2 linked regions of the Oreochromis niloticus genome follow. The protein of the gene in region 2 interacts with the protein of the main gene of each other region in a pairwise test. Links are inferred from orthologs where the notes say so. Each region holds a gene or a part of one and is shown on either strand. Other genes may lie near its edges.

The links. The genes of interacting proteins can lie anywhere in the genome.
Region 1: the proteins of clk2a (region 2) and ece1 interact in binary tests that used the Homo sapiens proteins (3 or more experiments, as listed by UniProt). The two-hybrid records come from large-scale screens. The link is inferred for Oreochromis niloticus from reciprocal best matches to the Homo sapiens genes CLK2 and ECE1.

Annotation. Positions count from the first base shown.
Region 1 is NC_031970.2:10,800,975-10,809,003, forward strand, and holds the start of ece1 (endothelin-converting enzyme 1), read right to left. Parts: upstream 3,049-8,029; coding exon 2,920-3,048; intron 463-2,919; coding exon 327-462; intron 1-326. UniProt on the Homo sapiens protein: Converts big endothelin-1 to endothelin-1.
Region 2 is NC_031985.2:16,846,218-16,854,066, forward strand, and holds the start of clk2a (dual specificity protein kinase CLK2), read right to left. Parts: upstream 3,057-7,849; 5' UTR 2,939-3,056; coding exon 2,915-2,938; intron 2,310-2,914; exon of another isoform or gene 2,176-2,309; intron 1,909-2,175; coding exon 1,709-1,908; intron 1,590-1,708; coding exon 1,310-1,589; intron 271-1,309; coding exon 180-270; intron 1-179. Other genes in the region: histone-lysine N-methyltransferase SETDB1-B, read right to left, coding at 4,245-4,331, 4,424-4,614, 4,855-4,928, 5,011-5,206. UniProt on the Homo sapiens protein: Dual specificity kinase acting on both serine/threonine and tyrosine-containing substrates. Phosphorylates serine- and arginine-rich (SR) proteins of the spliceosomal complex.

The DNA.
Region 1 (8,029 bases), on a different chromosome or scaffold from region 2:
AAAATTAAATTTTCAGTAATCCAAATATTTTGATGGTTTCTGCATTTTCTTAGTTACTGGAAACAGCTGATTTTAAAATTTAAGCATATCAGTTAATTACAGGCTAGGCTTCTTTAATTTTTTTATGGAGTTCAGTAAAAAAACTGAATAAGATTAAATATAAAATCACTGAAAGATCAAAAATAATAGTTATTGAACCTTTGTTGTAGATAAAAGCACCATTATAGGTATGAAGTGGGCTTTTCTATTTAATTAGTCAATTTCACAGAAATCACAGGTGGTTCTTTTCGCTGTATGTCACTGAGGTGTCAAAACTTTGAACTCACTCTGTTTGTAGAAAATCCCAGTTGTGATGAGAGTTATGAACAGGCCCACTGACAGAACACACACCAAGCACATTAGCCTCCTCTCCGTCTGTGTCCTGCTCGGCCAACATGAGGAACGGCCACGCAGAAGGCTCACCTGCACACATAAAAAAAGCCATCTAAAGGATTTGTGTAAGTCAAAGCCACAGACACTACTGCATGAATGACACACAATGAGTCTATTTACTTGTGAACAAAAACTGGAAAATATTGTGTATAGACAAAGTTTCTCAGGGATTTGATGACAGGTATGGTTTCACAGCACAATGGCTTCTCCATTAGTCTCCTCAGCTCTCATACATGGAAAAAGGTCAAGCATTCTTTCATTGTTTCCTTACTAATAAAAGCACAGTTTACTTTTGGCCTAAAATAAGACAAGACAACGCTGAACTTTATCTGCTGCTTTTGTGGTTCACCTATAAATGATGAGTTTACCGATAACGATCTGCTGAAAAGCGGCTCAAAGACTTTGATTCCAAGAGTCACTCATATCCTTCAATGGACACATTAAGAACTCTGGTCAGTCTAAATGAGACTCCTATAAATAAATGGTGGCTTTTGTTCATTCCACACACTACACTGTTGAAGCCAGGTATGCCCAAACTATAAATATAGGGATCAGATTTGCTGCTATTAGAAGACGTTTTCACAAGCCAAATTAAAGTGCGATCGAAGCAAAGGCGGCTTCTTAATCCCAAAGCCTTAGTGCATTAAGCAGGTTTGGTCCAGAGCTGTATTTCTGAGCATAACTGGGATAATCACTGCCAAGTCTTTTTCACCTGTAGTCTGCCACAGTCTTAGGAAGCTACATTTCATTTCACAAAAATAAAAAACCCACAAGTCATACTTGACTCTAGGCACAGTTTGAACACCATTTCAATCCTGGTTAAATAAAGCACCTAAAGAATGAATGAACTGAAGGATGAACTGCACAAAGCAGTGTGTGTCTGCACTATATGGACGTGAACAGTGTACTGTTTAACTTAAGGAATCAGGCCAAATGGTCTTTATCTACAGTCTCAGTGAAATTCTTTATACATGTTGTGTTCTTTCAACAGCAGAAAAAATACAAAGGATTTCATGCTTAAATGCTTCAGTGTCTGTGCGCAACAACTTCCTTGTGTGAAAACCATCATAAAAAAATAAATAAAGACAACTTCATCTCAATGGGGAGAAAAAAACGCAACCAATTTCATTCTGTTTTAAATCTAAAGTGAATTTGTGGCATATTTTTGCGTTGTGGTCTCTTAGACAAATCATTTTTTAAATTATACAAGTAACAATCAAGACATTTGTCCAAACATTAATATTTGCCAAATTGCAGAAATGTTATAAAATGATCTCAAAATGCTGTAAACCAAATACATGAATAGGAGAAAGGGCAGTAGCAACAGTATACTCTTACAGTCCATTTTGATGATGGCTTTTTGCATCGGTTTTACTACAGAGAATAAAATTTCCAGGATGTTTCTGTAAGGCTCCTGTAAAATACAAGTACATGCTGTTGGGAATTCTCTTATTTAGCTAGCTTTATTCATTATTTTTACTGTTGACATGGTTAAATTGTGCTTGATGCCACACTGAAAGCCAAGCAAAACAGTGAAGGTAAAGTTCAGATTTCAGTATTGTTTGCAGTATAGACTGTTTTTAGTTATAGCACTGACAATTTTATTTTACAGGTGTTTTATTTTGTCCCCACCATGAATAAAAATAATTCAGAGGCAGCAATCTGCACCCAACATGTATGAAAATGATATAAATGACAGCTATGCATTTATCCATCAATTCATTCCTTCTCTTAACTGCTTATCCAACCAGTTTCAGTGGAATAATACCAGCTGATACTGGGTGAGAGCTGGGTGCACCCCGGCCACCGCTGAGCAAAAACCAAAACACCGTCTCTGGACAGAACTGGAAAAAACCCACACAAGTGATGTGACCAGTTTTCTTTTTCTGGTGACTTCAGAAGAAAAGAAAGTTTAAAGCCCACTGTCTTCTCTTCTTTTTTTAACTTATTAACAGTAATCCAGTGGATCCAAATTAAGTTTGAGAACTACAGACACTGGGGAGGATATGTCCCAGCTCACTAGCAGTTAGGCCGTCTCTCGATCAACCGTCATGCAAATATACTCACTAATCTTATAATCTTCTATTTCATGCACACGCTCAGTTCAGAATGAGGCCTCTATTTAGAAGTTTTGGCCATTGCAAAATTACATGAAGACTTCAAATTCCTTCACAAATCAGAATAGGAATACATTTCTAAGTACTATATATCTTAAAGTTATGGATAGACATGTTAAACTAACACTACTGCTAGAGTGACTTTGGCAGCTTTTATTGAACCACTAAATGAGGACAGCTTGGTTCAAAAAACATCTAATCATAAGCCTAAATTGCTGTTGGTTCATCTGTAATTGAAATTTAGAAAATCTGCCGTCTTATACCAGGTGCAAAACCTCAACAGTTACACACTTACCCACATGTTTCATAATAATCCAGTACCAGCACCAACCTGTTTCTTATTTTTAGCCCAAGGTATTTGCTTTCTTACCTGCATGGGAGCTGATGGGTAGATATCGTCACTGGTGGAGTCTACCAGGTCCTCCTCGTCCAGGGTGGCTCGCCTGTATGTGGACATCTGCAAAGTCAAATGAAGAAAAGACTCTCTCAGTGCTTCCATGTTTCTTCAAGCATCTAATAACATCCCACTAACGTGTGTGAGAGTTTTTGTGTGCGGCGTCTGTTCCTCAGGAATCTATGGCAGTGTAGGGTTTCCCTCTAAAATCCATCAGGAGAAAACAAAATGATCCGGTTTACTTCTTTCACTCAGAGCAAAACTGCTTGGGGGAAAAAAAATGGAACATAAAAAACAACACGTGCTGGTCTGCCTTTCAAAGCACTTTTCTGCTCCCTCCAGTTCTGTCAACACCTCTAAACGCCCCCATGGCTTTAGGCAGAGACCCCGCAGCAAACTTCACAACAGTAGGAAAACCTCCTCCTCCTCCTGAAAGTACGATCTCCTTGCGCTTCTCCTCTCCCTCTCTTCCTGAGCAAAGTTTCTGTAGACTTCCTTTTCAGCACGGTCTATCCAAACACGGCAACAGAGAAGCCGGAACTACTGAAAAACGGGAAGCAGCTCTGACTTCAGCAATTTACATGACTGAGACTGAGTGTATGGTACTGATTGTGTGAGCGCGTGCGTCTGTGTGAGTGTGTGTGAAAGCACATACGCAAATGTGGTTTCACTTAGATTTGGGGAGGCAAGTGCGCAGTTGTAGTTCACGCCCTTTGTCTTTTCTATAGGACACAATGGACTGGGAGGAGGAGCACAGAAAAAAACAACAACAACAATCTTTTACATACATACTCAGTTTCTTTTGCAATTGATACCTGAATGTCATAATAGCCGCTTCTTCTCATGTTTAATCCCTCACCCAAAAATGGGCACAAAGCACAAACATGAAAAGCTATTTTAAAAAGAAACCCATCCAGAAGGGAAGCTGTGAGTTTATATGCTGGGGAGAGTGATTATCTGATTGGGGACAGGTGTGGTGGAAAATTGGAGGGAAACGTAAGCAAGACCAGAAGCAAAGCTAACAGGAATGAACATGGTCCAAGGATTACAAAATAAATCAGGAAGTGACAGAACAGAAATCCTGTACCATGACGTGTGTGTGGAACCTGTCACCGCTATAACCTAAACACATAGTTATAAGACAAAGAATATTCACAGCTGACCATCAGCAGTAATTCCTTCTTTGGGAAGTATATGTGAAAAATAAAAGAAAATGTATCATGGCTCTATTTATTAAAGTATAATGTCTGGCTGATTTAAGTGGGTAAGCGACACAAACACCAATAATGCACAACCACACTAACTTTCCATTATAAAAAGAAAAATAACTTGAAAGGTAATGTAATACTAATAATATTTTATAATAATGAATAGAAATAGCACTTCAAAGTTTCCTTTATGAGCTTGAGTGGGAAGCTGGTCACCAAATGACAAAGAAGTTTAACCCTATTAGCTGAGGCCTGCACATGGATCCATTGGTTTATTAGACAACAACACATATTGCGAATCTGCCGAAGAAGCTATAAAGATTTCATCAAGCAGCTGCTTTATTTTTGACCTGTGATGATGGGAGGGAGAGCAATATGGTTCTCATAGCATTGTGTCCAGAACTGTAGCCTAGGTTTGAATCTGCTGCCCAGCTGGAACACATGTTCTTCCTGTGGGACTCTGGCCTCCTCCATGAGTCCAAACACATACATGCTAGCTTCACTGTTGATTCTAAGTTGGCCGTGGTTGTAAATGGCAGCGTGCATGATTGTCTGTCTCTCCAAATGACTGGCGACCAGCTAAGACCCTGAACTGATTAAGAAAGAAATTGAACGAATGTTGATGCTTTTATGACCAAAAGAACATGATCAGGAATGTGAGCAGCTTTCTCTGAAGGGTGTCTCGGCTAAACCTCAGCATGATTTAGTACTGCGTTGAATCCTCACTGAGGGATGATGTCATTTTTTGTATTTATATATATATTTATGTGTATTGATCTGTGTGTATTGCTCTACCAGCAGTTTTTGTTTGGATCTGGAGCTGATGAAACTTCAGGAATAGTTACTTTTACTAAAATGCAGGAAGGCTGCATTGATACATGTTTTTATGACTGTGAAAATGAGAAAATGCCTACACATGCAGAAAACTAGCTATTTTATTAGCATAACTGTAAGCACGAGACAGTTACAACTTTTGTTACACAGAGGTATCCTCCCTGTGTTAATCAATATACTGAGGTTATACCATGCTACCAAACAGCCCTATCAAGGCTGTTGCAGTCTATGTTGCATAAACACGTAGTTATATTACTGTGAAGGTGCACGCCATTCTGTGGTGCAGGGTACAGATTTAAACCATAGCTGTCTTTCCTTTTATTTTTCACTGCGTATCTAGGTTGTGTTCACAGGGGTAACAATTTAAGCAGAGATGGCCAGAACACCCTCTCCCCAGCCACCTCCTCTTCCAGGGGGACACCAACCAAGGCAGGTGGGCAGGGGTGGGACGGTGGGGTAGAACATGCACAAATGGGGACATGGAATATCAGTTAAATTCTACAGTGTCAAAGAAACTTTCATGAATGGCTTATATGGTGTTTAGGTTTTATTTAGATTTTAAGATTTATCTCATTTATTGTCTTAGAAAGCACTACTTTCTCATGTCTCCTGTATTTCCTTTTTCTTCACTCTGTGTCACTATCACTCACTTCCTCTTTTTGAGTGGTTATTGTGTCTTTGTGTGTTGCTTTGCCACCTTTGTGATTACCTGCCCCACCCTCATTAGGTTCACCTGTCTTCATTTATTTTCACCTGTGCCCATTAGCCCTGTGTGTATATACTCCTGTCTCACCCTGTGTTACTGGTTAGGCTGTCTGCTGTTTCACCTGGTGTCCCTCCTTGTGGTCTCCCAGATTACTGTCGTGTTTGCACAAGCCTTTTGGACTTTGTTTAGACTTGTAATTCTTTTTTTGGTTGTCAATGTTGCAGCTAAACCTGCCTCTTGGGTTCTAAATTTTTTACCTTTATATAATCACATTTAAACAACTAAAAAACAAAAAACAGCTTAGTGATAGTGTTTAAATTAAGTAAGATCTAAAATCCATCTGAGTTTATGAATGTATTCATAGCAGCCTATTTCACAATGAATCTCAAATATTTGAATAATTGGACATCATTTTGGGGGGAATATTAAACTACACAACACAATCTCGTTTCTTGCTTGCAATTCAAAGAGTCAATTTCCAAATGCTCCGATTATTCTAAAGGCAATGTGCAATCCATTTTTAAGAGCTAATTTGAAACTTCCAAGCCTAAGGAGCTACTTCCTATCACTTACAATTTATAAACAGACCTTTTAGTACAGAGACTAACATTACACAACGTTGTTTTCTATTACTCCCGAGAGCCTGTTGCCTCAGTAATGAGGACAAGTTAAAAAAAAAACTTCTGCAATAAATCTTGTGTGTACTGTTTCAGAGAGAGCTAGAGGAATTACTGGCTCCTATTGATACCGCTTTTCAGGCGTTTCTGGTAACAGGAAAAGATCAGAGTGACAAGGAAAGCGTTGGCTAGATTGCTGCTTTTATTAACAAACTGCGCCACCCAGGTCACATTACCATTAAGGACACTTTCAGCAGCTCTGACATTGAACTGCTAGCTGTGAGGTTACACACACATTACATGCTCGGGAAGTTTTTAAATGCCATCTTAGTTGTTGTTTACATCCCGCCTCTGCCAACCAGGCAACCACGTGTAAAGCCATCTACTCTGTTGCAGCAAGACTCCAGACTATGCATCACAAAAAGTTGTCTTACTTGTCTTACACAAGTAAGACTGCAGACTTTTGGTAGTAAATATACATATCTGCAGTTCACTAGTAAACAGCTGAAGCACAAGAGGCCAGAGATATAGATTATTCTTATGCTACGATTTCAACACTGTTAATAGGACAATGATTAACTTCAGCTGCCTGTCAACTCGGTAAATGTTTCACCACAATGCAAAACGCCACAGGGGGAATATTAAAAACATTTTTGCCTTGAGTATTTTGATCATCAAGCATGTAATCAGACTTTAAAATAGCCCTTTTGTCCAGTCTTAGTTTCTCTCCTTCTGGGTTCACAGTTCACATGTTAGTCTCTTGACCAAAAAACAAACCAGTGACTGAAATAAATGTTTACTTGATTAAGACTTTATTAGATTGTCTCGTAAGCACAGCCAGAAGGTCAGATCCTTTCTTTTCGTTCCCACTTGTCTCTCATAAACAAAAATTGATGTTCCTACCACAAAAATCCTCGAGAATTCCATGCAAACCAGGAGCACAGATTCCTGTGATTCCTACTAAATCTTGGTTTCTATTAGATGAGATTTATGAAATGAACCCCAATGGGAGAAGGGGAACAGCTGTCAGTTGAAGTTAAACTGAAAATTTGTTGAGAAAGAGTGTTGGATTTGTTGGTACTGCTGTTCTTGGTCGGCTGCTTGCTGCTTAAATAGTTGTACATAAATAGGCCGACTAAAAAAAAGAAATAGTTACTGAAGCAGAAGAAAACTGAAAAAAAAAAAAATTAAATTCAAAGGCTTTAATTCTGATCACTAGTATAAAACTTACTAGGGAAGACACTGATACCAGCCAGTAACTGTTTGGGGGCTTTTATTCAGGAAAACAACTACTGCTGTTGTTGTCCTCATAACTTCCTAGAACTAGGGGCTTTAATTAAAAAAAAACATATCAGGCTTACATTAAGAAGGAAAGTACTTTCTTTAAAAAAAACAAAAACAAAAACTCAGTGTAAAGCATCTCTAACATCTGCTAACTAACTTAATTCTGAAAAGGTGACACTTTAAAGCATTCTGGTAAAGATATGGTCATACTGATACCTTTTTGTATTTAACTGGGGGCTTTTATTTTGGAAACTGGATATATTTTAAAATATATTGAGCTTACGTTAAGAAACTGGGGGCTTTTATTTTGAAAATTTGACACCAAGACCCATGCTGTAGCAGTCGTCAGAGTGTTTCTGCGACAAACACTGCAGGATTAGTTGCACGCCAAAAAACAAACAAGGAAAAAGGACGATTCTACATACTTTGCAAAAACC
Region 2 (7,849 bases):
TCCCTCCTAAAATCTTCAACATTCTTGCAATCCACCCTGCTATTTCAGCTAGAGCGAAGAGCATTCTAGCAAGGCATCATCATCATCATGATCATCAGGCACTCCCCATGTCATGTAAATGCTCTATGCTTTAATACTCATATGGAGAAGGGTTACGATAGAGTAGTGGCAGTGAGTACATCTCTCTTGCAGGACGTCCCCACTCCGACAGATCAGGTGCCCTTCCTCGTCGTCCCTCACACTCAGTGCACGCGTCCGGCTGTTGCTCCGCTGTATTCACACCCAAACGGCCATCAGCAGGTCACAACACGACCGAAGGGGACAGGGGGGTTTCAGGGGCAGCCGCAGCCACGGCGTCAGGTGGCACAGGTGGATGAGGAGGGAGGAGGAGGGTGGTAGTTGATGTAGTTGTGGTTGTAGGTGGGTTTCATGGTCATTGGGCGATTCACGCATGACACCACGTGAAGGAAATATATAACGATAGGGATATAGTGCAAGGGAACAAGTCAAAGATCACATGTTGTCCTCTGCTCCTCTCCCGCCCCCCTACCTTTAAACCACAGCTGCTTACAAACAAGGAAGCAACTGGCACATCCATTCATCAACGCAACAACCAATTAAACAATAATATACATAACTACTTCAAAACTTTGCAACAAGATGAAAGATAAAATGACAACACCATAAACATTCAAGCAGGACTTCTTTAAAGATAATCCCAACAGTTATACTACATCAAATTCAAACCTTTTCCTCATTTACGTTCATAATAATACTTAACAGGTGTGATTAACCACACCCCACACAGAAAGAAATAATCAGAGCTAACTCATTTTAATAAAAATCTAATGCACTATGCTTGGCAGAACATTTTCACTTTTTCATCATTAAAAAAATAATAATAATAATTGCAAGAGCCAAAACAAAAATCACAAGGCTTTCTGCCCTCTTATGAATAAAAAAAAATTAAAGTAAAATAACTAAATTACAGTAACAATTATCTGTGACAAAATAGTGGCTGAAGTACTAAAAGGTATCTGTATAAAAATGAAAATGCTCTACCATAAAAAGGAGAAAGAATTTTTGAAAAAAAGAGCCAATTAGAGCCAAACCCACCTATTCACAAATATAATAAAACCCCTGTGACAGAACAAAAATAAATCATAAAGGTTTTACTACTTACCAAATCTAGGGGCTGTAAAGAAAAGGTTAGGACAGGACAGAGGCAGAGAGAGCTGAGCGAAAGAAACAGGAGGTGGAGGTAGAGGATGAGGACTTAAAGCACAAACTCAGGTCTGGCTGTACTCACCGAGGAGGATGCGCTATAGGACCTGGTTCTACGCCGCCTTCGTTTGTGCTTACGCCTGCTGCCTTTCCGCCGATACGACTCTTCTCGTTCACGCTCCCTCTCGCGGCCCCGTCTGTAGTCGTACATGTTCGGCGAGAAGTCACGTGGATAGTAACTCTCGGCTGCTCCGTGTGGCTCCCTGTCTCTGTCGCGTTCTCTGCTCTGATCAAACCGTCTGTATCCCTCGCAGTATCTTCTGTCAAACGGTCGTTGTTCCACTGAGCGATTGTCATAGCTGCGACTGAATAAGTGAGCAGAGAAATATACGGAAACCTTAGGACTGGCAACCAATAATAAAGTAAAGTGGGGTAAATATAACATGAAAGAGTAAAAGCCCAAGCTAATTTGACCATAACGCACCTCCGTGACCGTACATAGCTTCCTTCCTGTCTGTGTCCACGTCCCCTCCTGTCTCGGTCTCTCTCTCTGTCACTGCTGGAGGAGTAAGACGGCGTTCTTCTGTGTCGATGTCGTCGCCCTCTGTCTCGGTCTCTGTAACGATCCTGGTAGCTGGCTCGACTGTCTCTTTCCGAGGACGAGTATCGTCTTGTGTGAGGCATCTGGTGTAAAAAGGAAACAAATTAGCACAGAGTACCAAAATATGTTTAAGGAAAGTCATTCCTTACATTCAAATTATTGGAGCAGATGATCACTGCCAAACTCATGGGATTTGAGGGACTAAATACCTGCACGTTTCTAGTGTGTAGTTACAGACCCCCCAACAATACTGTAAAGTTCAGAGTTTTACCCCAAAGGCTCAAATCAGGACTATGTACATCAGCACAGCTTTTCCACATATGATTTCACAAAGCAAAAATCTGTGTTACCTTACTGAACAATACTCCTTTTCCTTTTTATTTTTTGACCTTTCGCCAATAAAAACGTATTCAACCTTAAGTAATTTGAACTCCGCACAACCCAAAAGTCTCGCGAGTCTGCAAGTTCCCTGGTTTAACTGTCGTTACGTTTTAAGAATTTAAATTGAAAGTAAAAAGACAATTTCATAACAAACTTTATTGTCAACTTGGAAACAGACACTTTTAGCATCATACCTTCAACTGCATGACAAGTGTAAATATTATTTTTACTGTTTAATTAAACTACCCTTAACCGAGAACTAGACATTTCTGTAAACGTGGTTATATAGGAGGCCACCCTCAGAACAACAGTTCAACTTTCCTTCATACCTAAAAAGGCAACAAAATTTTCCAACGGACCTAAAACTATGTGCAAAACTATTGCAACGGGTCTGAAAATACTGAAAAAAAGAAGATCAGCGTTCAAATGAGATGATATAGCTATAATAACCCTGTTGCATAACCATAATAAACTTGACAACCCCCAATAGACACAGCGGCGCATCAAACCATTGCAAAGCCATTAGCACTGTAGTCAGAAGTAATTATTAGGGCAAATGAGTTCAGTTAAGCTTTATCCAACGCAGAGTGAAAGCACAAGTAAATGCCAAGTTAATAAATTGATCGTGGCTACTCATTAAGCGTTGCCTATGCTGTTTACACTCATTCCAAGACGATGCAACACTCGTTAAACGTAAAGCAAAATTACCGTTAAGCTCGTTAATCTCTGCATGGATTAGTAAAATTAAGCTTCTATAACAGTCCAGCACATTTACTAACAGCACCAACATTTCAAAGCCTGGAGAGAAGTAACTAATCAACAAGCGACGTAGTATCTATTAGCATGCACTGCTAGCCACTAGCTAATGTAAATAATTTGACCGCCATCTTAGCTTAGCTACGTTCGTTAAGCTAACTTGCTACTTACGCTAGCAGCCGCGCTAACTGCAGAATCGCTATGTAGCTTATTTAAATAAACACGGTGTTTACCGTTTTAGCAGCGAGCCCTGTGCGTTTATCCCACAAAAAATCCGTGGTGGCGTTCCACTTTTCTCCTCTACCTTCTCGCCAGCTCGATGTTCAAAGCTCTTTTGCTATCACCTAGCCAGTTTTTTTTCTGTCTGCTTAGTACAGCTAGTACTGGTTCAATTCGGCGCTCGTACCGCCCTCCTGCGCTCAAATGTGGCTACTCCTGTTCGAAGGTAGACATCCACAAGGAACTAGTGAGGAATTACCACCCCAACCTACAACCGTTACAAGTCCTTATTAAATTATGGACCGCTGATTTTTATCAGCTACCTTTTAACTTTTGTTTTCTCCATGTCCAAATATTTGACTTGCTGTTTTAAACCTTTGATTTAAAATGACATACCTGTGGTGGTATACAGATGTCTATGGAGAAAGGGTAGTGAACTAGTGTCAGTATATCTGAGGGACTCAGACAAATTTAGGAGGAAAGGCTGAGATGGTTTGGACATGTGTAGAGGAAGGATAGTGGATATACTGGAGGTGAGATGGAGGCAGATGGCGGCATTCTTGCTTTTAAAAGCTTTTACATGTTAAGTCACACATTTTGATTTTAATTTGTTGTAGTTTTATTACAAACATTTTGATTTATTTTATTGGTAAAACAACTTCAAAATGAGCTGCAAACTTTACAACCACACACATATATAAGAGATGCCCTCCTTTTCACTTTTTCACCTTAACACGTTGTAATAACTTTGAACATACTTAGAAAATGTTATTTTCGTTCAGCTGTACAAAAACTAATATAAAATGAATACATTTGTATCAGTAGCATCTGCATGATCTGATGGCATTCTCCCCAGGAGTAAGAAAAAGGCACAGTAGGTCAAACTTAAAGCATCCTCACAGTCCATCAGTTTGATGTTGGTGATGACTCTAAAGCACACAAAACAAGGAAACAGAGAGACCAGTAAGCCAGTAGGGATAACCAGGATAACATCATTTTTCTCCACATACGAAAGTAGTTTACCATTGACTGAGGTAGTATTACTCTTCCTCCCGTCCTCCTTTTAAGTCTTATTTAAATTCTCATTCACAGTAATCATTTGTTCCAAGCGATTGGAGCCTCGGTGGATCCACTCCTTAAGATCATCATCCTAAACATGAAATGAACACTACAGTAAGTCACAAAATTGAAATAAATGTAACAGGATTTAAAAAAGAAGGAACAACTTAAGGTGGAACAGACCAAAAAAACAACTTCCATCAAACTGCAGTCAATCTCCAGTACTTTACTCCTCTGCAGAAATCCGTTACGTTCCACGTTTACAGTCTGTCCGACGTGGTACTGCGTCATGGGTGGATAAGGCCACTTCTTTATATAATTCTGCATGAAAAGCTTGTGCTTTTCATCTAGGATATCATCCAAAGGGTTCTCCACTGTCATAGAAAATGGAAAATCTTAGTAGCAGTATTATAATAGCAGCTGCTGTGGACAGCGAGTATAGAAGAATTGGGATTCTGGATTTTATAAAATTAGATATTATGGACTTGACGACAGTCTTATGACAGCTGGTGTTCCAGCTGTCATAAGACGACAGGCGGGGTACACCTGGACAGATCGCTAGTCTGTCACAGGACTAACACAGAGACAGACAACCATAAATAACCTGAACTTACGCGGTTTGCAAACCATGTGCATTGCACGTAAGCCAGCATACACTGGAGTGTGATCATCAGTAAAAATCAGGAACCTGGAATATAAAAATTAAAAGTGATTTTACACTTTTCCCACCTTCACAATCTGAATTTATCACCAGAGTAAAGCACACTAACCTCATGCGGTTTTTTCTGCAGGGGACCTCTGCCATGAAACCAGGCACGAACTGGTCGTCTTTGCTCTGGACCACCACACGCGCACCGACAAACAACTCATTCACCTTTGGCATGTGTTCAAAGGCAATGTGGTGACCAGACACTAGGCTCCTCCCCTTCTCCTTAAAGTTGACCTTGTATTTCACCCTACCATCTTCTGAAATGATTAAAGAAACATTGGAAAAAACTTTAGATTATACCAAATTTGCTTCTATCTGCGTTTTCTTGAAATAAGAAATGTCAAATACAGGTGCACGTGTTAATCTTCAAAAGTTGATTCTGTTCATCTGGACGTAGCGTTTTGTGGGAGAAACGTTTCGCCACTCATCCAAGTGACTTCTTCAGTCTCAGCTGACTGCAGGTTTCCCCAAGTACATTTGCATAATGACTGAAACCAGCCCACTGAAGGAACAATGGGCTGGGAGGTCAGTTCCTTAATCATAATTATGCAAATTCTCATGACCATTGATCAACAATCACTGACCAAAACCCACTGATCAAAGACCAAATGGCCTCCTTCACTCCGCGCTCAAACCAGCGTTCCTCCCTGTCCAGGATGTGTACATCCTCATCATTGAAAGAGTGTCCACTGGCCTGTAGGTGTAAATAGACTTCAGAGTCCTGGCCTGACGAGGTTGCTCTTCTGTGTTGTGCCATCCGCTTCGCCAGAGGTTGTTTGGTTTCCCCCGATGTATAAATCCTGGCAATCCTCCTGGCACTTAACAGCGTACACTATGTTACTCTGTTTGTGTCGGGGGACCCGATCCTTGGGGTGGACCAATTTTTGGCGCAGCGTGTTTTGGGGTTTAAAAGCCACAGAGACCCGGTGTTTAGAAAAAATGCGTCTCAACTGTTCCGATACTCCTGACACATATGGGATCACTACAGGTTTTCGCTTGGGCAGCGGTTGTCCTTCTCTCCTGGATCGGCTGGAGCTTTCTTTAGGTGCCTTTCCAGCTTTGACAAAAGTCCAGCTGGGATAACCACATTTACTTAGGGCCTTCTTGATGTGATGTTCTTCTGCCTCCCTGGCCGCTGTGTCAGTGGGGATGGTGTTCGCTCTGTGTTGTAGCGTCCTGATGACACCCAGTTTGTGCTCCAGTGGACGATGAGAGTCAAACCTTAGATACTGATCCGTATGTGTAGGTTTACGGTACACGTCAGCTTTTAGATGTCCCCCATTACTGATGGAAATCTCACAGTCTAAGAAGGCTAACCTGCCACTTTTCATATCCTCCCTGGTGAATTTGATGTTTCGGTCCACCGAGTTAATGTGATCCGTGAAATGTAGTACGTCCTGAGATTTGATTTTCACCCAGGTGTCATCCACATATCTGAACCAATGGCTTGGTGGTTGTCAAAGGAAAATTGTGTATATGTTATCAGCTACATGAAATGTGCTCTTTTAGGATCACTGAGCAAATGTCTATGTGACTTTTCACCTAGTAACTTGTGTGCAGCTACTAACTGCTTCCTGTTTTCAGAGAACATTTAGATGTAAAGGGAAAAACCCGCTGCTCTGAGTGACGTTGTTACTTTTGTACACACACACACACACACATATACACACACACACAGAACTGTATAAATAAAGAACCCAGACAGTGATGAGACGCAGGTCATGCGTCCATGACTGCCCCTTGCGAGTGAAAAACTTCTGCAGTGTTTGTGTTTTCTAAATCAGATGTCTCAGCTGAAGAACGGCAGGGTGATTTAAAGAAATCCCCTGTCAGTGGTGTCCCAGGGTAGGATAGCAAAGCCCTCTTTTCCACTTCTTCCATGTACAAATTGGCCACGATGGGTGAAACTGGGGAGCCCATGGCACACCCATGTTTCTGCCTGTAGAACTGACCCTTGTATGTGAAGTAGGTGGAATGAAGACACAGTTCCAAAAGCAAACACACTTGGTCGATGCTGAGAGTGGTCCTGTTGCTGAGGTTGGTGTCATCCTGTAATCTCTTACGGACTACCTCCAACGCTTCCGTGACTGGGATGCAAGTGAAGAGAGATGTAACGTCGTACGAGACCATGGTTTCATCTGCCTCCATTATGACATCTCTCACCTTCTCAACAAAATCCAGAGTGTTCTGGATGTGGTGTTCAGAGCTGCCCACCAGCGGGTTGAGGATCAAAGCCAGAAACTTGGAGATGTTATAGGTGACAGAGTTGATCATGCAGACAATCGGTCTTAAAGGTGCACCCTGTTTATGTATTTTCGGTAAACCATACAGACTTGGTGTAGACTCCCCTGGGTATAGCCTGTGGTATGAGGTCCGGTCAATAGCCTTGTCTTGTTCCAACTGTTTCAGACAGTCTATCACCCTCTTCCTGTAGCCACTTCCTGGTTCTCGTTTCAGGGGCTCATAAGTATTTTCATCACTGAGTAGTGACAAAATCTTCTCATGATAGTCTTTCTGGTTTAGCAATACTGTGCACCTACCCTTGTCTGCCGGAAGGATGATAATGTTGTTGTCATCACTAAGTGATGTGAGTGCCTTCCTCTCCTCCATGGTGATGTTGGATGCTGGTGGCTTTGCATTGCTGAGACAGGCCGAAACTTTCGTCCATAGTTGCTCTGCTTCCACTTCTGCAATATTGTTGTTACGAATTGCTGTTTCTGTGGCTGTGATCAGCTCCACTAGCAGGATTTGTCTCGGTGTGACAGCAAAATTCAACCCTTTAGCAAGGATGTTTTTCTCTGTTTGGGTGAGCTGTCTGTCAGACAAATTCTTCACCCACTTGTCCACATCCTCCATGTCACATCCTTCTCTCTTCTGGCCGCTGAGGACACTGTCCGTAT